Rattus norvegicus: one gene and its partners. Each later gene encodes a partner of the first gene's protein in a complex. Links are inferred from orthologs where the notes say so. Each region holds a gene or a part of one and is shown in the gene's direction. Other genes may lie near its edges.

Region 1 (4,426 bases):
TTGGGTCCCACACCCCTTGACCCCTACCCACGAGATAGCGCCTCGCCTGTAACAGTTTATTAATGTCAACTCTTGTGCCCTAACCAGAGCTCCACCAGAACTTCCTGCTGTCCCCACTTCGTGAGTAAGCAAAGGGGCTCGGGTTTCCTCAGGGCAGAAGGAACCAGTAGTAAGCAAATAACCAAAACAGTAGCAAGACAAAAGCGCTGGGTTTGGGAAGCCAGAGAAAAAGACCTTCCCTTTGCTAGATGCTCCCAAGCCATTTTTTCCCCTCTTTCCCGCCCCTTTGTTGAGTGCTCTCAGGCCCCTCTTTCCCCCCCTTCCCGGCCTCAGGCTTTCCACAGCTCCCCGGGAAACAGGATCACCCAACGTGCTTCAAGCAGGGCTATTCGTTTCTGAGCAAGGTTGTGCCTTTTTGCCCCTTGGACTTTTCCACTTGACCACTCTCAGAACTCCCTGGGCTTCAAACCCCGGGAGACTCAGAACAACCATAAGTTGAGGATAAGAGATGAGAAGGAATATCCACCTAGCTAGGACCCACTAGAGGCTCCAGGCTGGGCTGAGGCCGCAGACGACCCAAGGTCGCACGCTGCCAGACCCTGCTCGGCTCCAGGGCGGAGTCCCCCCCCCCCTCGGTTCCCCCTTAGAGAGGCACTGACCCGGCTCGAGCGGCTGCCCCGCTGCCTCTACCTCCGTTCTCATGACCCGGGTGGCGCAGGGCGCCCATGGCCCCGGCCTGGAGCTGATTGCCGCTGCGATTTCTGCTGGGCGGAGAGCTCGGCCAGTGAGCGTAGAGTTCCTCCGCCGCCGTCGCCGCGGCCACCGCGGTTCAGACCCGGGTAGGCGGTGGCGAGGCCGCCTCAAGCCACGCCTAATCCCTTCCAGGTCTGGGCGCTGGAAACCCGCCCCTTCCATAAGCCACACCTCTTCCCTTCTACCCACTTCTCTTCCAGACTGCGCTCCCGGCCGGTCCTTCCCTTAAACGCTCCGGCGGCCCCGCCCTTCCTTAGCCCCGCCCCTGCCCGAGCCCCCGCCCCCAGAGCCTTTCCCGGGGCGACGTTGGCTCCCCACAAACAACCTAGCACTCTCCCGCCACTAGGTCTGCTCTTTTGCAGCCTCAGTTGTAGGCTCTGGTCCTTCGCAATGCCTCGTCGAGACTCCAAAGAATCCTTTTCCTACTCCCTTTAGGTCTTCTTACTTTGACCTTGAATAAAGATAGTTCCCAGGGCTCGGTGTGTCCCTTACCTGACGGTGACCGGATCCAAAGTTTAAATTTCTAATCCAAGCCTCACTTCCTGTCTACCCAGAGCATTGGGCGCAAGCCCAGATCCTGCCCAATCCGTCACTACAGCACTCTGTAAGCGTGGGTCCCCATGTTCCTTTGTGGGCTCGAGGATTGATGTTTCCGGCGGTCCTCGGGCCCTCCACAGTGCCGGAACTATAGTGCTAGAGGCCTGGGTTCCCCAGCCGGCTAAGTGAGAGTAAAGGGTAAGTAGGCCTAAAGGAAAGGGAGGGGCCTGCGCAAGGCATTCTGGGAGCGCGTGGTGTGAGTGATACTCGGGCCCGTCGTTTCCTCGCCTCAAGCCTTCGCCTTCTAACGTTTGTGCCGGGACCGAAAAAAAAAAAAAGCCTGCAGTTAGTTGGTGAGGAGAGGCGGCTAACGGGAGAGGGGAGGCCAGGGCTCTCCAGAGGCTTAGGAGCTGAAAGGGACGCGGAGGAGGAGCTCAGCGGGGCTTAGCGGAGGGCGGGAAGCCAGGGCCTATCCAAATATCATCTCACTAATCCTAGGAACAGTTATTTATTTACGCCTAGCCAGCACGTTCTGTGCCTTTCCAGGTCACCGATTTTCGAAGCTTACAGGCAGTCCTTTCTTGCTAGTTATCTCCTTGCCTTCCGGATCTTCGTTTTCAACGTCCTTTTCATCCCTGCGCCACTCCCATTCCTGTACTGGCCTCCCCTCCTGCTTTGCACGCTGCTGCAGACGTTTCAGCAGATTGCTCTGCTATATGTTTAATCCACTTTGTAGATGCTACTAGTTTTTTTTTAAGCCCTTGCCTATAATCCTGTAGTGTTTCCCTACCATTTTCAGCACTCTCCTAAAGTTGAAAGCCGTGGTTCCTCACCATGTTTAGCATCCTTATAGTCTTCTCATGAAAATGGGCCGTGTGCTCCGTCTAGTGTCGTTTCCCGTCTCAGAAATGTAAAAGCCCTGCGCATAGTCTTTGTTTTTTTAATGAGACTTAAGTCGAGCGTTTACCCTATTTCCCTGAATGATGAGCATTTCCTGTTTATAGCATGTTGCCGTGACGCTTTTGGTCTGCTTTTTGGTGGGGAGTCAAAAAGCTAAATTGTAAAGCACAACCTGTTTTCCTGGATTTCTCTGGGTTTAGGTCTCTTTGTACTATCAGGTACTGTAGCTTTTATCCAAATGCGGTTGCTGAGTGATTGGAATATGACTAGTGTGGCTGAGGGACAGATTTTTTTTGTTTTCATTTGCATTTTGTTTACGTGTAAACAGTTATTTGGTCGGGGTCCATATCATAGTTGTTTAAATGATTATAAAGAGAGGGACATATGACTGGGTGAGAAGGGAGGTACTCGGGGTTGGGGATTTAGCTCAGTGGTAGAGCGCTTGCCTAGGAAGCGCAAGGCCCTGGGTTCGGTCCCCAGCTCCAAAAAAAAGAACCAAAAAAAAAAGAAAAAAGAAGGGAGGTACTCTGATCCCATTCATTGGCTTTCTTTGTCCAGTTTACCATCCTTCCCTACCCTACATGTTGGGCTAACTTGCCGTCGTGGGTCCTTCAAACCAAGAGCCAGACTCCTTCCACAGAAAATGCAGCCGTGACAGAATCTGCAGAGCCTGTGGAATGCCAGTCCTTAGGCTCCGAAAGGTAACCATTGTCTCTCTCACTGCCCCATAGGAAGAGTCCTGCCAAGATGTCTATCGGTGTGCCAATTAAAGTCCTGCACGAAGCGGAAGGCCACATAGTGACATGTGAGACCAACACTGGTGAAGTGTATCGGGGGAAGCTCATTGAGGCAGAGGACAACATGAACTGCCAGGTATCCTGCTTTGCACCCGGGGCTGTGAAAGAACGGTGGCTTCTATCCTGGGGGATAAAAAGGTCTTAATGAAGTTATTCTTACCAGACAGTTACTACCTGTCAGGCACTCTGACAGGCTGTGAGATCATATGTCAATGTAGACTTAGTCTTGAGACAGGAAAGTCATTTGACAGCCTGATGTGGTAGTCCATGAATGTCCCAGCAGTTGGGAGGCTGGGGTAGATTCGAGGGTTCTAGGCCAGTGTGGGCTTTACAACAAGACCACACTGCTTTTGGTGGGGAGTCAAAAGGCCGAGTTAAAAGCCCCGCCTCTCTTCTTAGTTTTCTCTGGGGTTGGGTCTATGTGTGCTTTCAGGTAGCCTTTATCCAAATGCAGTTGCCGAGTACCTGTCCGTAAAACAACCAGTTATGTTAACTTGTTCTGTCTGTCTCGGCTCCTAGAGTAGGTCAGGTTCGGAACCGGAGTCCGCTTCCCAGCACAGTTTATAGTTTGCAGAATTTTCTGCTCACATATGTGTGTGTTTACTTTTGTCTTGGAGAAAGTTCATCTGATAAAACTACCAGAGTTTTGATAAATGGTTTTGGATTTTTTTTCTCCCATTAATTAAGAACTTGAGCTTTGGAATCAGAGAATTCTCTGATTTCAAATTGAGTTGGGCCACAATTATAGGACCTGGGGTACCTTGGCCATTCGTTCTCTCCTCTATAAAATGAGAATGGAGTTGTTTTGGATCCTCTGTGCTGTAAATGCCAACCCAGAATTAAATCCACAAAAGACTTGTTGGGGAAATGGCAGAAGGATGTCAGTGACCGAGCGGGATAGCACATGTGATTGGTTACTTTTCTTGTTGCTGTGATCAAATTCCTGACCAAAGCAACTTACGGAAGGAGGAATTTATTTTGACTCACAGTGTGATGACACAGTCTGTTGCAGAGGATGGTGTGATGGCAAGAGCTTGAGGAGGCTAATAGTCGCATTGAATGTGCAATCAGGAAGCAGAGATTAGTGCCTGCGCTTAGCCCAGTTTCTACTTTTGACCTCCACCTAATCTAGATAATCCCTCACAGACGTGCCTGTCCCTTCCTTCAGTAATTCTAAATCCATTAAGTCGATAATAGTAATGATGGTAGCAGGAGAGTCTTCAATCCAGAGAAAGGAAGGCAGATTGAGCAGAAGGAGCCTCAGACTGCAGCATGATGCTGAGCAAGTTTCCCCAAGTAAGAGGAGTGACTGGAGGCAGAAGTGGACTGGCTCTCATGTTTCCTCTGTGCTCAGTCCCTGGCAGCCTGTGTGCATGGCTAACGCAGAGTGAGTGCCAGGGCAGATCCAGAGCAGCAGCTGGAGGATGTCGGCTGCACAC
Region 2 (4,363 bases), on another chromosome or scaffold:
AACAAAGCTTCCCAATACTTTTACACATGCCATCTCATCCTTTCTTAAAGCACTTAAAATGTGTGCCATTCCTTTAGTCCCATTAGAAAATATAACAATACACACAATGTTAGAATAAGCTTCGGGGTGACAAAACTTTTTTTTTTATGATGCAGTCTATTTTCTTGAATTATAATAGGTATAATTTGTATGGCAAGCTTTAAAGGAATTCTTTTAGCTCCCCAACAGTTTGATGATGTAATTACTGTCACTGTCTCTAACTAAAAGCAAAGCACAGCTAGTTCAATCACTCCAAAGCCATAATTCTTCAGCTAAGAAAGATTTTAAAACCCACAACAAAAAGAAATATTGCTTTTTTCCATAATTAGTTGTGCAGATTCCTAACAACCAGTTTTGAAGTGAAAGCACCATTAAATAAATAAATAAAACATTATTGGAGCAGACAGGGTAGGGGGAGGTTGGAGGTATAACTTATTGGTACAGGACTTTGGAAGACTTGCATAGTGTGAGTTGCACACACACACACACACACACACACACACACACACACACACACACACACACGAGGCATGAGGGAGAATGTCAGTCCTATTTTTACCAAGACATGTGAAAAATAATAGTTCTGTAGTAGGAACTAAGTAAACTCAAGTCCAGAGTTGAAGTGACATAAAATAGTGACAGCAATGAGGGACAGAATCAGAATCAAACCCGGTGCTTAGTTTACACTTTTCTCCAATTAGTCCCTTCACAGTGGGGCTGTAGCCTTTATTTATTGAACTTCACCCTGAGGAAAGCTAAGTCCCGAGACTTCGATGAAATCCATTTCTTAAGGCAGGCTCCTGCACCTTCAGCTATTTGGCTTTCGTTTTTTAAAAAAGCTCGTTTAAGGACACGAAGAGCCAAATTCAGAATACACAAATATTTTCATACAGTTGTTTTCTCCGAAAATGTACATCGTGGAGCTACAAAATGCTCCCTTTGTACTGGGCTATTTGGCTTTTTAAACTTTTTTGGCTCATGCTGGAGAAATCTAGAGCTCCTTGCACCCTGCATCTACATTGCCTATGAGAACAAAGAATCTCTCTCCTACTCTAGCCAATGGAAACATCTTCATCTCGTGTGTCTTCCGGCAGAAAGAGTCTTTCCGCACTACCTTTAGTAACTACCACAGTGCCTTCCCGTCCGGTAGAACCCTCCAGTGTCTCCTTCCAGTCCGCCTTCGGTGACAACTCTACACTTCCGCCTGTCCCCGCCTTTGTCTCCCCTTCCGATCGCCACCCGGAAGCCCAGCGGAAACACGCTGCGCATGCCCACTAGTCAGCACCGCCCCGTTTCCTGTTTGTCCGACTCCTTTCTCTTACTGATTCGTCACCGCTGAGGCCTCAGAGTCTCGCGATATTTGCGTTCGCCAGCGGGCGCGAATCTGTACGTGTTTCTAGCGGGCGGTGTTTTGTCTCCTTGTTGCTGATTCCTCTCAGATTCCCGGAACCTCCGGGCCCAGCAGCATGACGTCTGCCTTGGAGAACTACATCAACCGTATCCTCGGGCGGGCCGCTGCGACGGCTCAGGCCGCGGCGGGGGCGGGAGGGAACACGGGGGCCCGGAGTGGTGGGCAGTGAGCAGTGGGTGGAGGACCGGGGGTCGGGATTCGTGGAGGGAGCTCCCGGATGGACCCGTGGCTTTTTCCACCCACAGCACAGATCTCGGTGTAGTTAGAGTTTTCCTGCACGTAGCCTGTTGATTGTATATGTTCCAACATTGGGACTAAGGTGAACTGTTGTCCTAAGGACTCCCAGTTCGTAGATCCTAACAGTCTTGTTTGTTCGGGGATAGCATGAACAGGAAGATGCTCCTCAGATGTGCATTTCGGGTCCCATGCCTCCGCTTGAAATGTCTATGCGGTAGAATAAAAATAAATCGTATTGTGATGGTGTTTGGAGAGTGACGAATGGCTTTTAAAAAGCCCAGAGATTTTAAGATAGAATTGCTGTTCTGAAGTCAGGGCAAAAACATTGCACCTAGCATATGCTCAAAGAGGAAACCCTAGTTAAATACAGAGAGGTTTTAATGATGCAAGGATTATTGGTACTTGATGGCATTAATTGGATGAGAAGGGCCTTACCATGCATAAAGAGATCCAACATTGATTAGCTCCCATCTAAATTTTATTCTAAAGGTTAAGAAGTGAGTCTAACCTGCTCAGTGTCATAGGTTGGAAACATTGCTGTTTAAACCAGAGGCAAACAGTCACATTCTATACCCTCTATCGTTTAATTAACTGTTTTCAAGGTACAGTTGAAACAAGTTTAAAAACTTACGTTTTATTCCTCCGAGCAGTGACTCTGTTGAATCTTAATTCTTTCTCTTTTTTAAGTAGTTGGAACCATTCCCTTTCTAGGCTAAAAGTTTTCAGTTTGTATTTAGGAAATACTTTCCTTGACTCAGTTCTCAGGAACTGTTGCAGTAATAACTTCTGATGGCAGAATGATCGTGGTGAGTGACATTTTCGTTTTCCTCTTTCCTGAGGCTTATTGCTTGTACATTTGAGGTAACATTTCTGGCCCAATGTTCAGACACCACAGCGTACCAATATTCCGGTGTTCTTATGATTCAGCTATTTAACTTCATCTCTTGGCTGCCTGTCCAACTTCTCTGGCCAACCCTGAAGACCTGAGCTGAAAGGTAGAGCTGTGTGATAAACTGATTTGTTTTCTTCTTGCATCCTTCTATTCCGTTTCGTTTGTTTTAACTTAGAGACCTTAAACAGTTTACATGTGTGTGCCCTAATTGGTTCTTTATCGATGAGGAAATGTGCTTTCAGTGATTTCATCATTTTTCCGAATATAGTAAGTGGTTTTGGAAACTTAAATTTATGACTTCACTGGTGGCACAATCTTCGGTACCATTGGCCGACCTACCATTTCTGATTGAAATATTTCTTGCATGACTGTAAATTAATCCCATGTTATTCCATTCTGGTTTTTTTTTCTTAAAGATTTAATTTTGTTTTTGCTCATGTGTGTGTGTGTGTTTATGAGCGTCTGCCATATGTGTGAGGATACACTACACAAGGAGACCACAAGACCTAGAGTGAGCCACAGTGTGTGGGTGCTAGGAAGAACTTGGACTTTTAACCACCGAGCCATCTCTCCAGCTCCTTAATTTTCTTCTTCATCCTTTTGACTCTTCTCTTCCATGAGCAATACCAGTCAAAATGACATAGACTAAATGCATATCATGTGTTAAGGATTTTGTATATCAATTAGTTTGCATTACAGCCTTGTGAAGAATTGCCACTTTTGTTATTAGGAATCTAGCTTAGACAAAATAAGTCACTTTCCCAGAGAGTCAGTATGACAAGTGACAGAACTGTATAGTGTCATAAATTGTGTTTAATTCCAAAACCAAGGTTACTTCCTTTGCTTGTTCTTAATAAAGGAAACAAATATGTAGGATTTTTTGTTTGTAGTTTGTTATGAGGGGGTGGTGGTGGTCAGATCATAGTCTATATATTTGTAAACTATGGGCACTTAGGAAGTCTATTAATGTTAAAAGCTAATTTGAAAATAGTTGATTTTTAAAGCCTTTAGTTTTAATTTCTTGTTTCTGTTACAAAATGTTTATAGAAGAAAAGCTGAACAAAAGCATTGACATTGATTAGTTCCTATCTTTATCACAAAGTTGTCTGATAAAATAGTTTTGTGTAAAATGAAGGTGAGAGGATTTGGGGGGGGGTTTATGATAACCACCATTTACTAACTGCTATAGTAAATAGTCTAACGTGTTTTTCTTTCCAGTTTCTAGACTCCAGGTTTCTATTTATTTTATTCTGATTCTATATAATTATAGCTTTTGTAACATGAGAATTTAATGGTAGACCCAAGAGATTAACCAGCTAAATTGAAAATAAGCTATTTCTTCAGAAACTTGAAGAGCATCTATGATACTTTCTTTTTCTAAATCCATACAGTTTTTCCTGCTTGTTTTCTTCAACTTAAGTTTCTGATTATTTCAGTTCTAATATATCTACTATAGTATTGATAGAATTCAGTTAGACATATACACAGGACACAGTGTTGGCAGTAAGGAGATGAAATATTAACTATAAGTGTTAACTAGTTTGTCATAACATTGTTTACAACAAAGTAGAGGACTTACTTTGTAATCAGCCTCTGAGCTATGTACTATCCAGGAAATAGATCCTGAACCATCATTTTTATGGAGCATTGGGTGCTATATTTGAAATGGGCAAACCAAAGAACTGTCTCCAAAGATGAAGGAAAGGAGAGGTGATGCATGCAGTGTGTTTCTTTAGCACTGGACCTTTCCCTAAGAAGTAGTATACAGTGATCTTTTGTGTAGA
Region 3 (3,904 bases), on another chromosome or scaffold:
AGGTGCGCATCACCTTTATGTGGGTGTGGGGTCTGACTCGGGTGGTGAGCGCTCTTTTCAAGCCAGATCACCTCACAGAACCATTACTTCTTTCAAATTGGGCTGAACAGTCCCTCCCTGCAAAGACACCTGTCTGAGAATCCGTGAACATGAAGGCTGTCCACAGTAGCCTTGCATTCTCCTTGCATAGCAGATCTGCTGGAGAATACTGAGAAAATGCTGTTTTCTGTATTCTATTTGGAATATCCTGAAGCACATCTCTGGACATGTACGTGTTGCTTTGTTTTGTTTGAGACCGGTTTCTCTGTGAAGTCTTGGCTATTCTGGAAGTTGCTTTGTAGATCAGGCCTTGAACTCAGAGATGTACCTCTATCTGCCTCCTGAATGCTGGGATTAAAGCTGTGCTCCAGCACACCCAGCTGCCATGTATGTTTTTAAAGCTGTTCTTGTGGTTCTGATGGCCAGTACAAATGATTGGGTCAGTGCTGGTGACGGTTTCCCTTTGAGGGTTAAGCACCCTTCCTAGGGGTTTCATATCAGATAGCCTGCAGATCAGTTATTTATATTATGATTTATAACTGTAAAATAAGTTATAAAGTAGCAACAGGAATAATTTTATGGTTGGGGGTTATGACAACATGAGGAACTGTATTAAAGGGTTGCAACACTAGGAAGGTTGAGAATCATTGAACGAGAAGGAGGAGTTAACTAGAATCTATTGTCCTGCAGTTAGTTGTTAAAGGCTTTCATTCTAATAAGGAGCTCAATTTCCCACACAGAGGTACTGGCATGTTCATGCATCTGCAGACCAAACAACCTTTGGTGCCATTACTTAGGTTCCATTACAGACAAGATTTGGAGCTTGACAAGCCAGCTAAGCTGGAGAGTTAGCCGGAGAGCCCTGTTTCACCTCCCTAGCAATTGGACGAGCATATTACCATGCCTGGTTTCACATATGGGTCTTTCGGATCAAACTCAAATCCTAATGCTTACAAGGCCAGCACTTTACAAGCTACAGTGTCTCCCAAGCCTATCCCAGACAAAGATAAAATTCTTCAAGTTTCAAAGATAGCCTGAAAAGGTTTGTTTGGCCTAAACTGGCAAGACTGGCGTTAACCTCTATCAGAGTAATGTCTCCATAATAAAATGACGTGTTCTTTCTTCTGTGTGCACATGTATGTAGAGGTGATGTTGCAAGTCTTCCTTAGTCCTTCGTGTTTGTTTTTTTTGTCAGCCTTGTTTTGTGAGACAGGTTTTAGCTGAATCTGCTGCTCAGTGATGAGGCTAGACCAGCAACTGGTCAGCAGCTCCAACAGCCTGTCTCTGTGCCCAGCCGTGGCAATGGGTGATAGGTGTACCCCACTGCACCAGGCTGCTGCTGCTTTTTCAGTGGGTGCTGGGGCCTAAGCTGAGGTTCTCATGCTTTTGTGGCAAGCAGTTTCATTACTCTAGCCCCCAAGGTTCTACTACTAATCAGCCAAACCGTTTGTAACCCACAGAATTGAGGATTGCTGGGAGGGGCATGATACTGTTTCACTGTCTTGAGAGTGAATTGACTTTAATCTACAGGTGTAATGGTTTTGAAATTGCCCTTTCTGAAGAGAAGAAGTGGGGGTGTGGACCCAACAGTTAAAGAACGTCTTTGGTTGACACTTCATTGGCCCAAGAACCAACCAACACAGCTGGTATCCAGTTGTTTTGGGTAAGTATTGTGGCCGTATTTTCTAATAAATACTGTCTCCCTGTTCAGATTCAGAAATTCTACGCTTATGTGTTCAGAAAATAGAGAAATAACCAAGACTTATGCTGTCGTTGTTATTCATCTTTCTTCTTTTTTAAAGACATAGCCTCACTTCAGGCAAAGATTGACCTAGCACAATCCATGGAGGATTGGAAAGGTCCTCCTGCCTCAGCCTCTCAAGCGTCTTACTTTGCCCAGCCATCTTAGCATGATAAATGAAGTAATGAATGGGGAGATTCAGGAGACCTGTGCTATTTACTACCAAGAATGGCTCCTTGGGCCGTCTTTATAGGCTGTGCCATGCCCCCACCCACCACCACTACACATACTAGTTGAAAACCTGAGGTGGTCAACTTGATCTGCTCTGTAAACTAGAATTTCCACAACCTCATCCTCTGGTTTAGTTCACTGGCAGGAGCCACTCACAAACCTCACCTATGAATAAGGACATTCAAGGGTGCAGCTGAGAGATGTTCAGAGCATGAGGAGACAGACAGCCTTCCTGTACCCTCTGTAGGTTTTATGAGATCATCATTATAGACATGTGATTGATGTCATCTTTGGCCATCGGTGACCAGCTTATCTTGACCCCTCTATCCTTAAGATGAACTGGGACCACAAGTCACACCCTTATCCCGCCTGGGTCTGCTGAGTAACTCGTCCACATCTTGAAGCTACCTAGAGACTACACCTATCAGCATGCAGAAAGATACTGCTGCAGAGACACATGCCAGAAAAGAGCCAAGGCCAAACGTGTACCACAGTGTCAGGCTGCCTCGTTTGCCAGGACACTGAGAATTCCATGGGCCAGGTCCCTGCTTTAAAATAGACAGTACAGAAAAGCACATACAGATATACAGATTGCCCAGAATGTTAGCCCCATCCCCTCCTGACTACTTCTACCTAAAGAAGATACATTTTGAACGTTGCAAGTTATAGTTGACTTTTATAAATCAAAGAAATGTATTTAAAAGATAGTTCATGGATATGGTAGCTCATGCCTAAAATAACGAGTCCTTCAGAGGCTGAGGCAGGAGGATCTTAAAATTATCCTGGGCAACATAGAGAGTTCCAGGCCAGCCTGGAATACGTCCCAAGACTCCTATCTCAAAAAGCTTTAAAAAAAAAAAATTTTTTTTTTGTTTTTGTTTTTTTTTTTTGTTCTTCTTTTTGGAGCTGAGGACTGAACCCAGGGCCTTGTGCTTACTAGGCAAGCGCTCTACCACTGAGCTAAATCCCCAACCCCTTAAAAAAATTTTTTTTAATTATGCACACTATCTCATCACAGATAATTGTGAGCACCATGTGGTTGCTGGGAATTGAACTCAGGACCTCTGGAAGAGCAATCGGTACTCTTAACCACTGAGCCATCTCTCCAGCCCCACAAATAAAATTTTTAAAATCTTTTTTTCAAAGACTTGTTTGTTTGTTTGTTTATTGTATGTGTTTGCACACACATGCCATGGCATATATGTGGGGTTGAGGGGACAACTTTAAGGGATTGGTTCTCTATTTCCATCACGTGGATTCCAGAGATCGGACTCAGCTCAGGTTTGGAGGCAAGTGCTTTACCCACCAAGCCACACCACCAGCCCCTTTGTTTATTGTTGTTGTTGACGTTTGTTTGTTGTTGGAAAAGTACATCACTATATAGTTGTGGTTTTCCTGGAACTATATAGATTAGTATGTTCTCAAACTCAGAAATCCACCTGCATCTGCCTTCCAAGTGCTGGGTATGCACCACCACATGTGGCTTAATTTCGAGGAGGGAGCGCTCACTTTGTAGTAGAGCTGTACTTGAATTTATAATATTCCACCTCTGCCTTCCCAGTACCTGAGTTCACACTGCCATATCTAGCTCAAAAATGTTTTCCTGTTGATTTTGGTAGTGGTGGTTGGTTGGTTTTTCAAGATAGGGTTTCTCTGTATTCCTCGAACTTGCTGTGTGGATCAGGATGGCCTCAATCCACAGAAATCCACCTGCCTCTACTTCCCCAGTGCTGGGATTAGCTGGAATTAGAGGCATGTGACACTACCACCTGGCCAAAAAAAGGGTTCTATTGGGGCATAAGGTGTGGCCATCAAGGAAGGGGTCATGCTGTGGGCCCAAGACAGGACCAGACCAGCAGTTGAGACCAACAGTTTAAGGTGATTGTAAATTCT
Region 4 (4,500 bases), on another chromosome or scaffold:
GTTTTTATTTTTATTCTTTATTTTATTGTTTGCTGTGCCAGGCATTAAATCTAGTACCTTACTTAGAATAAGCAAGCATTAACCTCAGAAACCCTGACCCTGAAGTCATTAGCATGCTCTGCTACAAGCTCTACAAGAATCTTTAGGGAGGTTGGGAATTTAGCTCAGTGGTAGAGCGCTTGCCTAGCAAGCACAAGGCCCTGGGTTTGGTCCTCAGCTCCGGGGGGGGGGGGGGGGGGGGAAGACAAGACAAAACGAATCTTTAGGGTTTGGGAGAGATAGCTTAGGGGTTAAAAAGATTTATTGATTTTGCAGGGGACCCCAATTCCTGGTACCCAAGTGGTGGATCATATCTACCTCCATTCCAGGGAATCTAATGTCTTCTTTTAATCTCTCTGGGTACCAGGCATGTTTGTGGTGCACAGGCATACTATGTGAAGGCAAAACATTAATCCATATATTTTTTCTTTTTTCTTTTTTTTTTTTTTGGAGCTGGGGACCGAACCCAGGGCCTTGCGTTTGCTAGGCAAGCGCTCTACCACTGAGCTAAATCCCCAACCCCAATCCATATTTTTTAAAATTAATTTTTAAAAACTATTATTTGGTACACTTTGTTTTGTTTTTGAGGTGTGGTCTTATGTAGCAAAGTTTGGTCTTAAACTCTACAAAGCCAAGGAAGAATTTGAATTTCTTTTTGAAAAAATATTATTTTATGTATATGGGTGTTTGGGTTGCATGTATGTGCACCATGTGTGTTCTGTATCTGCAGAGGGCAGTAGAGGGATCAGATCCTGTAGAATCAGAATTACAGGCAGTTGTGAGGCACCATGTGATTGCTGGGAACCGAACCAGGTTCTCCGGAAGAACAGTCAAGGCTCTTATTCATTCAGTCATTTTTCCAGGCCCAGACTTTTTTTTTTTTTCTTTTTCTTTTTTTCGGAGCTGGGGACCGAACCCAGGGCCTTGAGCTTGCTAGGCAAGAGCTCTACCACTGAGCTAAATCCCCAACCCCCAGGTCCAGACCTTGAATTTATGATCATCCTGTCTTTACAGCTCCCTGTGCCCCACCTCCACTACCCAGTGTCCCACGAGTGCTGAGATCCCTAAGGTCTATGCGTTGCCAGAAATCGAATGAACCAAGGGCCTCCTGTACACCGTACTCTGAGGTTCATTCCCAATCCAGATCATACATTCTTGCCAGACTTCCTTCTGCTTTGGACGTTCCAAGAGTTATTTGACTCTTTGGTACACAGTGAGCACTCTTAACCATAATATAACGAAGGAATAAAAGAACAAAGGATTCATTGAGTAGGAGCTAGTACTGCATATCAGCTCTGAATTCCTGAGAGTAAATACAAGAAAAATGTGCAACGTAGGCAAACTTATTAAAATTGTTATGGCTTTGGCTTTTGGGGAGCAATGTTAAAAGCCAATTAAATGTCAGTTCTATTACAGGCCTCCTAAACCAAACTGACTGGCGGAAGGCGGGGCGTGAGTCTACCCCGGCCCCACCCCTCGCAGTGAAATCCGCTTTTAGACCCGCCTCCCCGACGCGAATTTTACCGTCAATTGGGGTTTTCGCTAATCCATCGAAGCATCTCGCCTCCTATTGGGTGAGCTTCTGAACCTGGTTGCGCACTTCCTGGAGTTGGGAACGCGGAGCGGACGTCGTCTTTCCGCCATTGCTCTGCGAGCCCTGCCGCTACCTAAGTGAGGGACGACAGGTGGGTGGCGGGCGTCTGAGGCTGGGCTGCAAGGCTGTCGAGTGGGCCGAGCGGCCGAGAAGCTGCGCCAGGCCCGGGTCGCGAGCTCTCAGCCCGGCTAGGGTGCAGGCCAGGGCACGCCGGACGTGTTCCATCTTTCTCTTCTGGGCCCGGGCCTAGCTGATTCGTATTGGCTTGCCTCTCCATCCCAGATTCTCCCGGCATGGCCGGAGTGTTTCCTTACAGAGGGCCGGGTAACCCGGTGCCCGGCCCTCTAGCCCCGCTGCCGGATTACATGTCAGAGGAGAAGCTGCAGGAGAAAGGTGAGAGGCGAACGGGAACGGCGCGCGCGGGCTCGAACGTGCAGGCGGATTTCATTTCTTCCCTCTGTAGGCAGGTCATCAGGGGTGTACTTATTAGCAGTATTTACACGTTTTAAAATGTGTTTAAATCATTGAAGGTTTGGAAGCGTCTGTTATTTGCAGGAAGCTAACGTGCGTGCGTGCGTGCGTGTGTGTGTGTGTGTGTGTGCGCGTGTGTATTGTGTGTGTGTGTGATGCGTCAATGGTGACAAAAGCTGTTCCTTTATAGGGATTGCATTACTCTGAAGGGATTAGACAGCAACCCTTCCCTAAACATCAATAGCAAAAATGTCAGGTGTTTTGGGGTAGTAAAATGGCAGTATACTTATCAGTGAGTAGTTCTCCTCTTCACAGCATGCTGAGGGCTACCCCAGGGGCAAGAGTTGGGGGATAATTAGGGTGAATGTGGGCAGCCCTTTTAACTGAGATGCTTTTATAGCTCGAAAATGGCAGCAGTTGCAGGCCAAGCGCTATGCAGAGAAGCGGAAATTCGGGTTTGTGGATGCTCAGAAGGAAGACATGCCCCCAGAACATGTCAGGAAAATCATTCGAGACCATGGAGACATGACCAACAGGAAGTTCCGTCATGACAAAAGGGTCTATTTGGGGTAAGTAACATCCCAGGATAATTTCATATGGAGTTTGGCTTCTTTCCTTTTTCGGCCCCTTCATTGACAGTGTTGGATAGAGGGACTATGGTTTGGAACATGACTTTTTAACTGAGACACAGTTTCCTTGTGTGGGCCTTTCTGCCCTGGAATTAGCTCTGTTGACCATGCTGCTCTAGAATCCACAGGGATCCCCATGCCTCTGCCTCCTAAGAGCTGGGATTAAAGGCAGAGACCATCATGTCCAGCATGGAACATGGCTGTAGACTTTACATAGGATGTTTGTAGAAGTAAAGCCAGGACCACTGGGATTCGGTGATAATTGCCAAGTCTTCTACTTATTTTTGCTTTGTTTTGTCCTGCTGATGTCATTGTTAAATACTATTATTGTTGAACTGTTTGAAGCTCAAGATATGACACACTCTGGATGCTTTTTGGTCACTAGCATTTGGGAGTTTAGGATGTTTAATTCCTGGAGTCTCTCTTACTACTTCTGCAGCAGTAATTGGTAACCAGTGTGGTAGTGTTTGGACGTAATGTCGGCACTGGAGCTGCAGGAGCAGGACTGTCACAGGCTTGAGGCCAGCTCAAGCTGCTCCGTGGAATGCTCCATTAAAAACAACAACAAGAGCCAGATTGGTGGCCAGGCATTTAGTCTCTGTGCACGGGAGACAGAGACAGGAGAATGAATCTTCTGTTCTAGACTGAGTTTCAGGCCAGCTAGGGCTATATAGTAAGACCCTGTCTCAGACAACAACAAACATCATCATCATCATCATCATCATCATTATTATTATTGAAACTTGCTTTTGGTCCTCAATGGATAGACCTTTCCTTTTAGGAGTTTAAGTTTAGTGGCATGGTAAATGAGAGACAAATGGTCACTGTGTAGAGCCATGAATGTGCTGGTATTTACAGGAAGGGCAGAAGGAAGTTGCTTTCAAAGGGACAGGTGTTGGTTTATACAGGCTGATTCCCACTATTGTGGAACTAAGACATTTAAAAGGGAGAGTGGTGTTAGATGGAGATGAGGAGGCCATACTGGAAGTCATGTAGGATCTGCGTCCTAATTTGGGGCTTTGGAATATAAGGCAGCATTTTGTATGGAACACGTGATAACTTTATGGCTTGTCAGCAAGGGACAAATGATGAACACTTAGTTGTTTCTAATTGTTTCTCCTCCTTGTGTTGCAGAGCTCTCAAGTACATGCCTCACGCAGTTCTCAAGCTCCTAGAGAACATGCCCATGCCTTGGGAGCAGATCCGGGATGTGCCTGTGCTGTACCACATCACTGGAGCCATTTCCTTCGTTAACGAGATTCCCTGGGTTATTGAGCCAGTTTACATCTCCCAGTGGGGGTGAGAAGGGCTGAAGTGTGGGGGGAGGTGGCATCTGGTGGGGTGTTGTGGGGGCGGAAGTATTGGCAGTTGAGATCAGTGGGCATGATGCTCTTGCCTTATAGGTCAATGTGGATCATGATGCGTAGAGAAAAAAGAGACAGGAGGCATTTCAAGAGGATGCGTTTTCCCCCTTTTGATGATGAGGAGCCGCCCCTGGATTATGCTGACAACATCTTAGATGTCGAGCCACTGGAAGCCATTCAGCTAGAGCTGGACCCTGAGGAGGATGCCCCTGTGTTGGACTGGTTCTATGACCACCAGCCATTGAGAGATAGTAGGAAGTGAGTGGAACTAATTTCTGTGAGAGTTCTGGAAACAGGAGCTGTGGGAAGGCCGTAGGTAAGAGGCTTGGCTCAATGCCTACCTGATGTGGGCCCTCCATCTTTTCCCTAGGTATGTTAATGGTTCCACCTACCAACGCTGGCA
Region 5 (4,704 bases), on another chromosome or scaffold:
TAAGGTTTCAAACAACTGCCAGCATTGCATATGAGATTCCCAAAGGCTCAGAGGCAGAAAAGTCATCTGTCCTTATATGAGGGTCTCACTTAAATTTGAGTTATCTAGGAAGCACCACCCTGACACAGGTCTTGTTAAACACAGCAGGTTGGACACTCACCACCCCAAAGAGCTTCCACCTATCTGGGCTGCTCTCCAGTTGGCAGTACACCCACGACCAGAGAGATGGAATGTTCTTTCACATTTCCTCTAGATCCACACCTGCTGGCTAGACTGCAGCCAGCATACACTTTACTCTCATCGTATACACTTTTACATTTTTCCCTTCTTTGCACTCTTCAGAGTCACGCTTGCCAGGGGGCTACAACCCCGGCTTTATCATTTATTCTTGCACAGCACAAACCCCCTTGCAAAAACCAATTCTCTCTCTCATGAATAATACACACTTGGTCCAGGAATCACAAAACTGTAAAATACAGGCTTAACTCTAGTTAAGAACTAAGGGGAAAAAACATTCCATAGAGAATGGGAATGAGACTTTTTGTTTGATACAAGGTTTATGTAGCTCACGCTGGCATCGAACTCATAGCAGTCTTTTTTTTTTCTTAAATAATCGGGGTAGGGTTTGAGACAGGGTTTCTCTATGTACTTGTAGCTGTCCTGAACTTGCTTTGTAGATAAGGCTGGCCTCAGGAGACCTTATCTCTGCCTCCCAAGTGCTGGGATTAATGGTATGTGCCACTATGCCTGGCTATAGGGCAATCCTTTTATCTCAGCCTTTCAAATGCTGGGATTACCAGCATGTACCATCATACCTGGCTCAGCCTCCTGACCCCATACCCCCTTCCCCCAAAAAAGACAGTTAAGAACTTATCTACTCAAATGAATGTTGATTCTGGGGCAGTTTGCTGTTAAGTCCTGCCTATGGCATGCTGTGCTGTAACATTGGGCAGTTCTGAGAACTCACTATGGCCTGTGAATTTTGAAATAGGTAAGAGAAGCATCTGGAAGCAGGGTTGCCAAGTAAACTGGACATTACTACGGACCCCAGAATAGGCCAGCAGAGCAACAAAGCTATGCCATAAGGCTGAGGGTGGCCCCTAAGAGACATTTTAGGGGTGCCTAGAAAATATCAGCTCTCACAGGCTGGCTCAGAATGACCATTTCATTTGGGCACAAGTCTGGGGCTTTAGGTAGTCATACAGGACAAATTAGCTAAGAATCAAGAGTGCTTTCTTAGCTAGAAAATCTTTCATACATACTGATAAGCAAAGTGCTTCTGGAAAAGGAGCTTAGAGAAGTTTCCATCCGTCTCCTTTCTGCGCAGGGTCTTTGTGAGGACCATATGAACACATGAACGGCCTCTACAGAACACTGTATCTATTTTGTCCTTCATCAAGAAGTGGGAATAACGGCAAATTTGTAGGTGCTGGTCCTCAGATTCTTCTTCAGGTGTTTTTAACAGGTGTACAATAACAGAATCAGGATATAGGAAGCATAGCTCTAAGAACACAGACCCCAAAGAGATTCCAATGTTCTTTGTCCAGCCAGAGTTCCAGTGAATCCTGTGTTTTAAGTCAGAATATGGACTGATTAACTGGAGGATGAAGAGCATGGAGTGTGGCAGACCCTCCTTCACCCCGAAGGCTCTGGATGGTATCTAACCAAGTAAGGCCACAGGCACTTTCAGCACTAGTGCACAAGTACTGGGTGAAGGCGTTTCCCTGACAGCAGACTGAGATCAGGACTCAAGCTTAAGGCACTGAGCTCTGGGACCAGCTCTCCTGGTCTAGAGCATTCAGGTCCCCAGCTACTTCTGGACTAGGCCCTTCTAACTCACCACCTCACCCAATGCCCCAGAGCTCTGGCACAGCAAGCTGTGAGTCACTCTTTTAATGCATAAAGCCGATGCCCGCTACATTACATGTTTTCAGCAGAAGGGGATAAAACACAGCAGGGACCCCAGGTGTCCCAGAAGAGACAAGCTACTGAACTCCTACAGTTAGAATGATCTTGAGACCCTAGAAGACAAACGCCCGGGGTAGGAGGTTCGGCTGTGGGCTGTTTTATGACTCATGTTTCAGGTTGCTGAAGTTAGGCTCGTATGTCAGAAGTCTTAGGTAGCCCTGAATTCCCGTGCACAGGATGTCTTATGGACTTCAGACCTTAGTTAGCCTAAGCTAGTGTTGGAAAACATGTCCCCTGCTGGAAAAATGCTCTGTCTGGGGATCTTTACCCAAAGGACCTAAGGTACATTTACTTAGTTTTCTCTCGAGACAGCTCAGGTTGGTCTTTAACTTAGGCAGTCTCATACTCTGGCCTCTTCCATGCTGGTAAGGTTAAAGCGTGCGTCATCATGCTCAGACATATTCTTGGGAGGTATGAGAGAAGAAAGCATGGAGCAGAGAAAGGGTCATTTCACTTTCTTGATGATGTTCTTCTCAACTCCTTTTTGAAACTGGGGCCCTCCCACCTCAGGACAATTATAGCTATTGTCAACTCTCCCAACTTCAATAACTCAAGATTGCTAAACCACAATTGGAGCATCTGCTTTGATAATTCCCCTTTAGTCTGAGCAGAAGGTAGTCTGTTCACAGCTAGGAGGTGAATTTGGTAAGCCTAGCCAAGGCAGGTTTTACTTTTTTAAACCTTTCTTGTTGTTGTTGTTGTTTTGAGATAGGTTCTTTCTACCACTGTCTGTCCTGCCACTAGATGTGCTGGTATGTAGACCAGGCTGGCCTTGAACTCACAGAGATCCACCTGTCTCTACCTCCTGAGTACCGGGATTAAAGGCATGTGCCACCCATGCTTAGCAGGACAGGTTTTCAACAAAGGACAGCAACTTAGCACAGCACCTTCTTCCTGGGTCTCCTATGCAGTCTACACAGACAGTGCAAAGCAGTGAGGCATGAGTAGCTTGGGAAGGCCACAGAAGGGGAAGGAGATGTGTTTCCAAATAGGCCTCAAAACCAAAGCTCTCCTGTTTTATTGGCATCAGAATTACTTGGAGAACTTGTCAAGGAAGGCAGGCTTCCAGAAGCCCCACTTCTAAATTCCTGAGTGGCAGAAAAACAGTCATGTTGCGGGTGGGGGGGGGGGGTAGAAATGGACTCTACCCAAGGCAGAAAGCTAGGAGAAACGAAAAGTGATGACTGAAAACAGGCCTGGGGAAAGATGAGTGGAAGAAAGCAGAAACACGAAGGAGCCTGACAAATAACCTCACCAAGACAACAGCACACGGGCAAAGGCTTCAGAAAGCCTGGCTCTCCCTGAAGTCTCTGCCCCCAAAACACCGTTAGCCAAAGCCAAAATTCCAGAATGTTAGGTTAGATGAGATAAGAGAGAATAGCTGCTGAGAGGTAGGTCGGATGTGGTCCTGCAAGACCCTTGTGGATACAGCAGCTTAGAGGAGGACATTATCCCTGAAGATCACATGGATTCATCCTGGCACCCCCCAAACTAGAGGTGAGCTCCTTGGGCAAAATTCTGCCAAGTGCAGTGAATCCTGCCCTTCAACCCCATCAGTGTCGGCTCTGGCGCTTTGCAAGTTCCTCCTGGATGCGCAATCTGAGGGCCTCTCGCATGGCTGGATCCAGAGGTGTGTGTGCTGATACTTCCTCACTCACCCTTCCGGGATCATCGTCCTACGTGGAGGAAGAGTCAGGAAGCTCAGAGCCTGGTCTCTCAGAAAAGTGCTGCCCTATTCCTAGACAGCATTCTCACAGAACTGTTTGGCTTAAGGCTTGTCATTTCTCAGGAATCCCCTGTAACAGTGATTCTCAACTGCGGGTCACAAGTTTTCCCTGTTCCCCCAATTAGGAATCTCTGTGCTGAGAATACCTGACAGGAAGACACGTTTTCCACTGGCCCTGAGATTAACAGCGGCTCAGGAACTAGTGGTAGTTTCCATCATGGCCCAGGACCGTCAAGATGCAGCTGTTTCCGGAAGGCGTACCTGATATACAATAACTGATGTGACCTCTCCACTGTCCGCTTCATATTCTAAACAGAAGAGCTGGCGACCAGGAGGCTCCAGCTCAGAGTTTCCACTACTGCTGCTCTCACTGGACTCCTCACAGTCTGGGTTCACTGGGTGGGTAGAGCCATCTGTAAGGGCAAACCAGAATGAGAGGGAAGAGGGGGATGCTGCTAAAACCCCTGCCCACAGAAACTATCAGAAAAACAACACCAAGAAAGCCTCCAAGCTTCCAACAGACCCTGGGTGGGTATGTGTGTGCACTGTGTGTGTGTGTGTGTGTGTGTGTTAGGGGAGCTGTCAATCAGGATTTTAACTTCTCTTTCTCTCTCTCTCTAGCATAATTACACTAGAAAGTTAAGAACAAGATGAACATGTCTCTTGCAAATATCACTGGAAGTTGCTCAAAGGATGGACAGAGCTCTGCCTCAGTTCAAATCCAGGCTCTGCCATTTACTACCTGAGATGTTGGTCAACTTATTCACCTCTTTGGATAGTAAAACAGACATACTAGTTCTCAGCTTAATGGTGTCTTATGGGTTCAATGAGTCAATGTACTCAAGATCTAAACCCTCTGTAAACAATAGCCCCAAAACTTGGTGTCATATGTTAGTTGTTAGTAAACGTGAGCTCATGGTCACAGGAAACCCGACAAAAGGCCATTTACTGGGGTCACTTCATTTTATGTACTGGTCGTTTTTTCTGTTGTTGTTGTTCAGGTTTTTTTT
Region 6 (4,504 bases), on another chromosome or scaffold:
TAGATAGGGAATGGGGTAGATCCCGGGGAAAGCTGGAGGAGTGACTATGATTAAAATGCAAAACTCAAAGAATTTTTAAAAAATGCTTACAAAAATGAGTATTGGGCTGGAGAGATGGCTCAGCGGTTAAGAGAACTGACTGCTCTTCCAGAGGTCCTGAGTTCAATTTCCAGCACCCACATGGTGGCTCACAACCAACCATCTGTAATGGGATCTGATGCCCTCTTCTAGTATGTCTAAAGACAGTGACAGTGTACTCATATAAATAATAAATCTTTAAAAAAATTAAAAATTGAGTATTGGCAGTCAAAGGCTCAAGGGGAGAAGGATGAACAGGCAGTACCCTGAGGATCTTAATGGCTTGGAACTCTGTAGATTATAGAAACAGCAGACACAGACTATCTTGCCTTTGTCCTAAATCTCAGACAGTACAAGGGTGAACTGTAACAGCCTTTAACTGATAATGTGTCAGTGTAAATTCACCAATGCTGACGATGAACCACCGTAGGGGTGGGAATGGATCGTAGAAAGCCCTTTGAGGGTGGGGAAAGAGGGAGTAGGAGAAGCTCACCTTCCCAATTTTACCGTCAATCTCAAAATTTTTATTTAAAAAAATTATCTTAACTATATGCTCAGTAACTCTGTTTCTGAATGTACGTCGGATAGTATACATACTAACATCTAGCGAGCACTTTACATAGACAGATTTTCTCTTTAATCTTAAGGAAATAGGTATTTCTCTCATTTTATAGTCAAAGGATAACAGAATTGAAATAATGAAAACAAATTTACAGACTAAAAATTTGGTTTTTGTACCAAATGTACCAGTTTCTGTAGATGCTTTGCTACTAATTTCCACCTTTCTCTAACATCTTGTTGCAAAAATACCTCTATTTAAAAAAAAAAAAAAAAAATCCACGTTTCAAGATCATTAACTTGGCCCAATCGCGAGGAAGCCCGAGACGAGGGGGCGGGGACTCAGAGACTACAAATCCCAGCATGCACCGCTGCCCTGGCAGCTGCTTGCAAGGCTGTGGTTTCCTCCGCGCTCTTCCCTTCTCCCTCTTGTTTCCACTTCCGAGATGGGTTCCTACGCCCCTTGTCAGGTGCCACTACCTACAGCTGCACGCATCTTAGAGACGGACCTGGGTGAGCCCTCGCCGCCCGAACCCCATGTCCCTGCGGCGCAGCCCGCGCTACCCACCTCACCCGCAGTCCCAGCAAGCGGCGCTGCTCCTCTGAGGACGCGCACACGGTTGCTACGGAAACGACGCGGCGTTTCCCCTGACTGGTGAGGCGGTCAAAGGTCGCCTTGGCAAGTTCCGGTTCCGGTTCCGGGATCTAGTTTGTTGTGGGCTGGCTCTGTGGTGCTGGCCGCGGGATTTTGAGGCGTGTATCTGAAGTCCGGGTGTGGGCCAGGGTCGCTCGCGTTCCGCGGCTACAATCATGGCGGCTTCCACGGCAGCCGGGAAACAGCGGATTCCTAAAGTGGCCAAGGTAAGCGACCTCGAGGAGCCTCAAGCACAGCATCTGTGGTGTGGGGCACTAGAGATTCCGGACAGAGATCTTTGTGCCCTGGTCCAAGAAGACAGGTGGTCCATGGTGAGGTGGCACGGGGTCTTGTCACTCCGAGTTCGTCTCGCGTCTGCCCAGCCTTCGTTCCAGGGTGGTATTTTTGTGATGCAAAGCATCAGTTCGGTTCGGTAAACTCATTGCTTTTCCTAGTCTCTGGGGGTCCCCTACTTTTACTCGAGGCTACAGTGCTCCAATAAAACTGGAGGAAGGGCGAAATAGCAACCTTGATAGATGTAGCCTAGTCCCGTAGACTATGCTATAGGCAAGAACCAGAAGGGTGCCAGTAAACTTGAGGGTAAGCTTTGTGAAGGAAGCTAACACTGGAAGGCTGCGTCAAAGTTAGGCAGTGGAGGGGATGGGAGAGGACAGGCTCTGTGCAATGGCATCATTTAGGTTGGACAGTAAATTATTCTATTTCCAACGGTGGCTGATACTTCACCAATGCTTAATGAATATCAAGTCTTGCACTTAGCCATTGCATACAATCTTTCTCTGGTTTGATTCTTCTAGGGCCTTTTGGTCTTGAGACAGGTTCTTATTTCCACATGTAATTGTAAAAATCTAATGTGGTAGCTTTTCCCCTGCATCCTGAGTCATAAAAACCATGGTATGTGTCCTGGCTAGATTTTTTGACAGCTCGACACAAGCTCAAGTTATCTAGAAAGAGGAGTCTGGACTAAGAAAATTCATCCATAAGATTGCTTGTATGCAAGTTACTGATTGGTGCAGAGGGCCCACCCTACTTGGGCAGTGCCATACCTGGGCAGGTGGTACAGAGTAGTATGTAAGAACAGACTGAGCTTAGCTTGTATATCAGTCATGCCTCCGGCTTCCTGCCCTGACTTCCTTTCATGATGGACTCGTGGTCCAGTTGTGTAAGCCAGTCAATCAGCTCTCTCCTCTGCGGGTTGTTTTTGTTGGTGTTGTTCTATCACAGCAGTAAGAAAGCAAATTAGAACAGTATGTTTGCACTCAGGGTCCATCTACCTTGAACACGTTTGACTTGTGGCTACCGTGTTGGAACTAAAGCGCTTACAGGCTATTGGTGGAGACTTTGTAAAAAGAACAGTTTCAGTTGGCCTAAAATGTCATGGAAAACCAATTTGTCCACTCGAGGGGTTAGAGGAGTTAGTTCTCTGAGCAGGTGATAAAGAGGAAGTGGTACGATTTTCCCCCTGCCCCCGGTTCTGTCTCATGGAGAATTGAGGGTGTCATTCAAAGATGGCATCTTGGACTCATTCTTAGATCTTGTGTGGAGAACACTACCCAAAAGCAGGAATGTCTCTTTGTCCTAACAGGTGAAGAACAAAGCGCCAGCAGAGGTGCAGATAACCGCAGAGCAGCTCTTAAGGGAGGCTAAAGAAAGAGAGCTCGAGCTCCTCCCACCCCCACCTCAGCAGAAGATCACAGACGAGGAAGAACTAAACGATTACAAACTACGGAAAAGGAAGGTGAGTCTGTTAAGAATGCACTGCGTACGTCTGTCCAAGTCGCCCCCCACAGTAGGAGCGAGGGCCTGGGAGAGAACTCTGAAAGGGCCTATGTGATCGGACCTCAGGCTAGTATTTGGGATTATTTAATGCACTAATATCGTGGAAGTCATACGTAAAATTCTACGAGTTACCGAGCACTTGAAGGTAATGTTAAAAGTTGTTTCAACATTCTTATTCTTAATGAGAGTAGAATTTATTAAAGCACTCGTTGTTAATTGCTACGGAGAACAGCAAAGCGTTCTAAAAGACACACCTTACATTTTTCTTGATGTCACCATAAACTTTAGAGAAACACCTGTCATTGTCCCCCTTCTGGAGGAAGGTTCTTGTTCCTCAGCATCTAGGATATATTTTCTCTTAGAAAGAATAAAATGAGTGCTGTATATTACAAGGGGGAAGCAAAGTCATTTTCTCTTTGATACACTCTCTTCACTCCCCTTTTGCCTTTCAGACTTTCGAAGATAATATAAGAAAAAACAGAACTGTGATTAGCAACTGGATCAAATACGCACAATGGGAGGAAAGTCTGAAGGAAATTCAAAGGTAAAGTGCCACGACTATAGTAACTGTCTGCAAAGAGTGTGCAAGCCAGCGTGTGAGAGCTGGGAAGAGGAGAGCAGGGAACTGTGCCGTGTCAGCAATTTCCAGCTTCTTTCCAGGGAGCTCTCTGAGGCACTCACTGGGAAGGACAGTCAAGGGGGTGTCTCAGGAGGTTCTAGATGTGGGTCTTGCTGCTAGTACTCCTGTCGCTAAGAACAGTGTTTTGTCTGTTTTCTGTGTTAATTGGATATTGTTTCAAATATAGGAGTGTTCTCCTGAAATCTGTTGTCAAGATAAAAATCATGGTGGCCTTCACTGCCCGTTGACTAGCCTTTCTACCCTCGTACCCATGTTCCACTGTGACCATGTCCTTGCCAATCCTGAGCACATCATTGCTCATTACTGTGCCATTTGTTTGCTCTCTGCCTTGACCCCTTGAAGGCACCTTTTCTTCACCAACCTTGACTTCTGAACAAACTGCAACTATCTCTCCCATTCTCAGTTCCAGGAGCTCCTGCAGCTTAGCCTGTTTCACCAAACATTGCCATTTCTCTCTCTGCTTCCTGTCCAGACCTTGCCTATGCTGCTTATAACATTATGAAATAATTGCATGCTGTCTCTCCTAAGGACTGTGCAGTAACTTGAGAACATCATTGCTTTTCCTCTTCTTATGACTAGAAGTTGGCCCATGATAGGTGCCTTTACAACAAAGGAGGGCACTGCAGCTACTGTGAGGTAGCTGTTGCATATCTTATAGGTGCTGCCTTTGATGCTCTCCATATCTCATTGGTTAAGGGCCCGATCCATATACGAGCGTGCTTTAGATGTCGACTACCGAAATATCACACTCTGGCTGAAATATGCAGAAATGGAAATGAAGAACCGCCAGGTCAACC
Region 7 (2,767 bases), on another chromosome or scaffold:
CCTCTGCCTCTAAAATGCTGGGATTAAAGATGTGTGCTGCCGGGGTTGGGGGATATAGCTCAGTGGGAGAGCGGCAAGGCCCTGGGTTCGGTCCCCAGCTCCGAAAAAAAGAAAAAAAAAAAAAAGATGTGTGCTGCCACCACCTGGCAAGATGCTTTATGACAAAGTTTAGACAGAAGAATAAATATTAGATGGAGTTGCACAAGTCTCTAGTCTCAGGAGTCAGGAGGATTGCTGTGAGCTCAGGGACAAAACTTCGCCTCCCCCCTCTTACATCAAATAAACAAAAGTACCCCCAAACTCCTGTATTTTCAATTTGTCTGTCATCATCCATCCTCTCTGGCTATGATTGCTCTTACCCCATTCTTAAGATTTTTTTTTTTTTTTGAGAATACAATCTTCATCACGCTATTCGCATATCCTCAGGGAGTACCATGAAAGAAGTACAATTATCTTTTTCTGAGTAGTTTGTACCATGCGAGAAAGTGCACAACCCCCAACATAAGGCAGAAATCAGCAGAAAAACACAAGATGAAGAGAAAGAGGTTTCTTGTCTCGAGCCATATCCGACTTCAAGGAATAGCCTATGAATGACCTTAAAGAGGGGTTGTTTGCCCAAGGCCACAGAGCCTAGGTGGGTTGAGAAACTGGCGCCTGGAACTCCTTAGGGAAGCCATTAATGAGACTACCAGTGCTGACACTGATCAACAAGCAGCTAGCGAGAGTCAAAAAACAAAACAAAACAAAACAAAAAAAAAAAAAAAAACAACAAAAAAAAACTTTTCCCGGTACCCAAATCCTAAGAGACAAAACTTGGGCCAAGGCGGAACCATGCCACCATGTTAACTTCTAGGTACAAGAGTTAGTTTTCCTCGTTGCTCATACTGTTGTGTTGCGGCAGTATGAGATTTCAATGACAGTGGGATTATGAAACCCACGTAGGTTTCTCCTTCTTTGTAGCCCGGAGCCGTGGGATGAAGCTTCGAGGTTTTTGGACATTGTCCTATATAAGCCAGGCAAAACCCCTCAAAAACAATCTAAGACAAACTCTTTGGACTACATGTCCCAGAATGCAACGCGAGGGTTAGAACGTGATCACCCAAGAGCCACTAAGAGGACCATCATGCAACGCTCTTCGAAGTAGGCGGGCTCCGTGAGGAGACGGCCCACTGTTTCCTAGGCAACCCCAATCCCGCAACAGACTTTATTTCCCCTTCCGCCTAGGAAAAGAAAGTACTCCTGCGACTGCGTGTCGTCTTTCTCCTGCGCCAGCACGAATAGAGCTTTTGTGCGGCGGCAGCGGCGGCGGCGTCTCTCTGATTTGAACGCCGAACAGCGGTAGCTTCTCATCTGTGGCCTGACCTCGAAGCCTAAGAACAGAGCGGCGAGATGACGGACCGGTACACCATCCACAGCCAGCTCGAGCATCTGCAGTCCAAGTACATCGGCACGGGCCACGCCGACACCACCAAGTGGGAATGGCTTGTGAACCAGCATCGGGATTCCTACTGCTCCTACATGGGTCACTTCGACCTCCTCAACTACTTCGCCATTGCTGAGAATGAGAGCAAAGCGCGCGTGCGTTTCAACCTGATGGAGAAAATGCTGCAGCCCAGCGGGCCGCCGGCGGACAAGCCGGAGGAGAACTGAGGCGAGCGCTTCCCAGCCTTCCCCATCTGCCATCTGTGGACCGATCCTCCTGACTCCTGCTTCTCGACCATTCTCCGTTGGGTGTATCGCCTGACCTGCTTACCTGTGGACGGTTCCGAACAAGTCATCGAGAGACTGTCGGGTCTCCTGGGAGCTGTGCGGAAGGAGTGATCCCAGAATCGGCAAGCGAGGGAGAAGACTGCCTGGGAGTGATGACGCATTCCGAGTCAGCTTTTCGATAGTTGATGTCGTTCTCGCCTTTTTTTTTTTTAAATATATATCATACATAAAGTTAGGATTTGTTATATCTTTTGGTTTGAATTGCTGTGTTCTTTGGGAGGTATTTGGAGAGAGTTCTGTGGATCAAGATTTCGTGAGAATATGACTAGAAAACGGGGGCGGAAGCACAGGGCAAGCGTTTATTGACAAGTACTTTAGTTGTCACACACACTTTTATGATCTTCCCTCACCTCGATTTTCTTCATGCCTACAGTGTGTCTGGTACCAAGGAAACCTTCAAGCATGGAGTTTTTCCACATTCCTTCCCACCCATTTCTAGTCTTTGCTGTCATTAACCTCACTTCCCTTTATGCTGCAGCCCCCTCCCCCCTTTCTTGGTAATTAGTTTGTGTGTCTTCAGAAATGACAAACTGGCAAACAATGGTGTCCTGTCCCGACCCTGCTCCACCTCTCCCCATTCAGTTTTCACCAGAGCATTTTCCAAAGGTTTGAGGACATACATTATGCCGGCCAGTTTGGAAGCAGATATGCTAAACTAGTCAAGAGTTAGAAGATGGAGGGGGATGGGGCAGCTTGAGGAGTTTACAATTTCAAATCCCACGCTTATGCTACATGACCGAGATGGTGACATTTGAGGACAGATTTCAAGGAATCAAGAGAAATAGCCACGCAGAGCATGGGAAGGTGTTTTCCATCTAACAAGGCCTGCCCTGCAGTGGGCCCAAGAGCAGCAGTGTGTTTGACTTACTGAAGGAAAATCATAAAAGCAACCAGTGTGACTAACCAGTGTGGTAGTGCACACCTTTAATCTCAGCACCCAAGAGGCTAGGGGATCTCTTGAGTTAGGATCAGGACAAAAAAAGTTACAAGGGTGTAG

The links.
Region 2: Snrpd3 (region 1) and Lsm8 share a complex: the UniProt entries of both Homo sapiens proteins name them as parts of the U4/U6-U5 tri-snRNP complex. The link is inferred for Rattus norvegicus from reciprocal best matches to the Homo sapiens genes SNRPD3 and LSM8.
Region 3: Snrpd3 (region 1) and Gemin5 share a complex: the UniProt entries of both Homo sapiens proteins name them as parts of the SMN-Sm complex. The link is inferred for Rattus norvegicus from reciprocal best matches to the Homo sapiens genes SNRPD3 and GEMIN5.
Region 4: Snrpd3 (region 1) and Prpf8 share a complex: the UniProt entries of both Homo sapiens proteins name them as parts of the U4/U6-U5 tri-snRNP complex. The link is inferred for Rattus norvegicus from reciprocal best matches to the Homo sapiens genes SNRPD3 and PRPF8.
Region 5: Snrpd3 (region 1) and Usp39 share a complex: the UniProt entries of both Homo sapiens proteins name them as parts of the U4/U6-U5 tri-snRNP complex. The link is inferred for Rattus norvegicus from reciprocal best matches to the Homo sapiens genes SNRPD3 and USP39.
Region 6: Snrpd3 (region 1) and Crnkl1 share a complex: the UniProt entries of both Homo sapiens proteins name them as parts of the minor spliceosome. The link is inferred for Rattus norvegicus from reciprocal best matches to the Homo sapiens genes SNRPD3 and CRNKL1.
Region 7: Snrpd3 (region 1) and Sf3b5 share a complex: the UniProt entries of both Homo sapiens proteins name them as parts of the minor spliceosome. The link is inferred for Rattus norvegicus from reciprocal best matches to the Homo sapiens genes SNRPD3 and SF3B5.

The regions. Positions count from the first base shown.
Region 1 is NC_086038.1:13,142,023-13,146,448, reverse strand, and holds the start of Snrpd3 (small nuclear ribonucleoprotein Sm D3), read left to right. Parts: upstream 1-1,528; 5' UTR 1,529-1,643; intron 1,644-2,921; 5' UTR 2,922-2,937; coding exon 2,938-3,063; intron 3,064-4,426. Other genes in the region: protein GUCD1, read right to left, coding at 660-915. UniProt on the Homo sapiens protein: Plays a role in pre-mRNA splicing as a core component of the spliceosomal U1, U2, U4 and U5 small nuclear ribonucleoproteins (snRNPs), the building blocks of the spliceosome.
Region 2 is NC_086022.1:48,270,766-48,275,128, forward strand, and holds the start of Lsm8 (LSM8 homolog, U6 small nuclear RNA associated), read left to right. Parts: upstream 1-1,362; 5' UTR 1,363-1,505; coding exon 1,506-1,536; intron 1,537-2,452; coding exon 2,453-2,493; intron 2,494-4,363. UniProt on the Homo sapiens protein: Plays a role in pre-mRNA splicing as component of the U4/U6-U5 tri-snRNP complex that is involved in spliceosome assembly, and as component of the precatalytic spliceosome (spliceosome B complex).
Region 3 is NC_086028.1:42,833,249-42,837,152, reverse strand, and holds part of Gemin5 (gem-associated protein 5), read left to right. Parts: intron 1-1,569; coding exon 1,570-1,702; intron 1,703-3,904. UniProt on the Homo sapiens protein: The SMN complex catalyzes the assembly of small nuclear ribonucleoproteins (snRNPs), the building blocks of the spliceosome, and thereby plays an important role in the splicing of cellular pre-mRNAs.
Region 4 is NC_086028.1:60,828,124-60,832,623, forward strand, and holds the start of Prpf8 (pre-mRNA-processing-splicing factor 8), read left to right. Parts: upstream 1-1,654; 5' UTR 1,655-1,724; intron 1,725-1,890; exon of another isoform or gene 1,891-1,915; 5' UTR 1,916-1,926; coding exon 1,927-2,026; intron 2,027-2,504; coding exon 2,505-2,673; intron 2,674-3,867; coding exon 3,868-4,032; intron 4,033-4,136; coding exon 4,137-4,355; intron 4,356-4,467; coding exon 4,468-4,500. UniProt on the Homo sapiens protein: Plays a role in pre-mRNA splicing as core component of precatalytic, catalytic and postcatalytic spliceosomal complexes, both of the predominant U2-type spliceosome and the minor U12-type spliceosome.
Region 5 is NC_086022.1:105,961,435-105,966,138, reverse strand, and holds the start of Usp39 (U4/U6.U5 tri-snRNP-associated protein 2), read left to right. Parts: upstream 1-1,587; 5' UTR 1,588-1,668; exon of another isoform or gene 1,669-3,521; coding exon of another isoform or gene 3,522-3,644; intron 3,645-3,955; coding exon of another isoform or gene 3,956-4,107; exon of another isoform or gene 4,108-4,222; intron 4,223-4,704. Other genes in the region: C4h2orf68 (UPF0561 protein C2orf68 homolog), read right to left, coding at 3,522-3,644, 3,956-4,107.
Region 6 is NC_086021.1:153,804,471-153,808,974, reverse strand, and holds the start of Crnkl1 (crooked neck-like protein 1), read left to right. Parts: upstream 1-1,360; 5' UTR 1,361-1,446; coding exon 1,447-1,497; intron 1,498-2,873; coding exon 2,874-3,026; intron 3,027-3,519; coding exon 3,520-3,611; intron 3,612-4,403; coding exon 4,404-4,504. UniProt on the Homo sapiens protein: Involved in pre-mRNA splicing process. As a component of the minor spliceosome, involved in the splicing of U12-type introns in pre-mRNAs.
Region 7 is NC_086019.1:9,175,945-9,178,711, forward strand, and holds Sf3b5 (splicing factor 3B subunit 5), read left to right. Parts: upstream 1-1,244; 5' UTR 1,245-1,389; coding exon 1,390-1,650; 3' UTR 1,651-1,957; downstream 1,958-2,767. UniProt on the Homo sapiens protein: Component of the 17S U2 SnRNP complex of the spliceosome, a large ribonucleoprotein complex that removes introns from transcribed pre-mRNAs.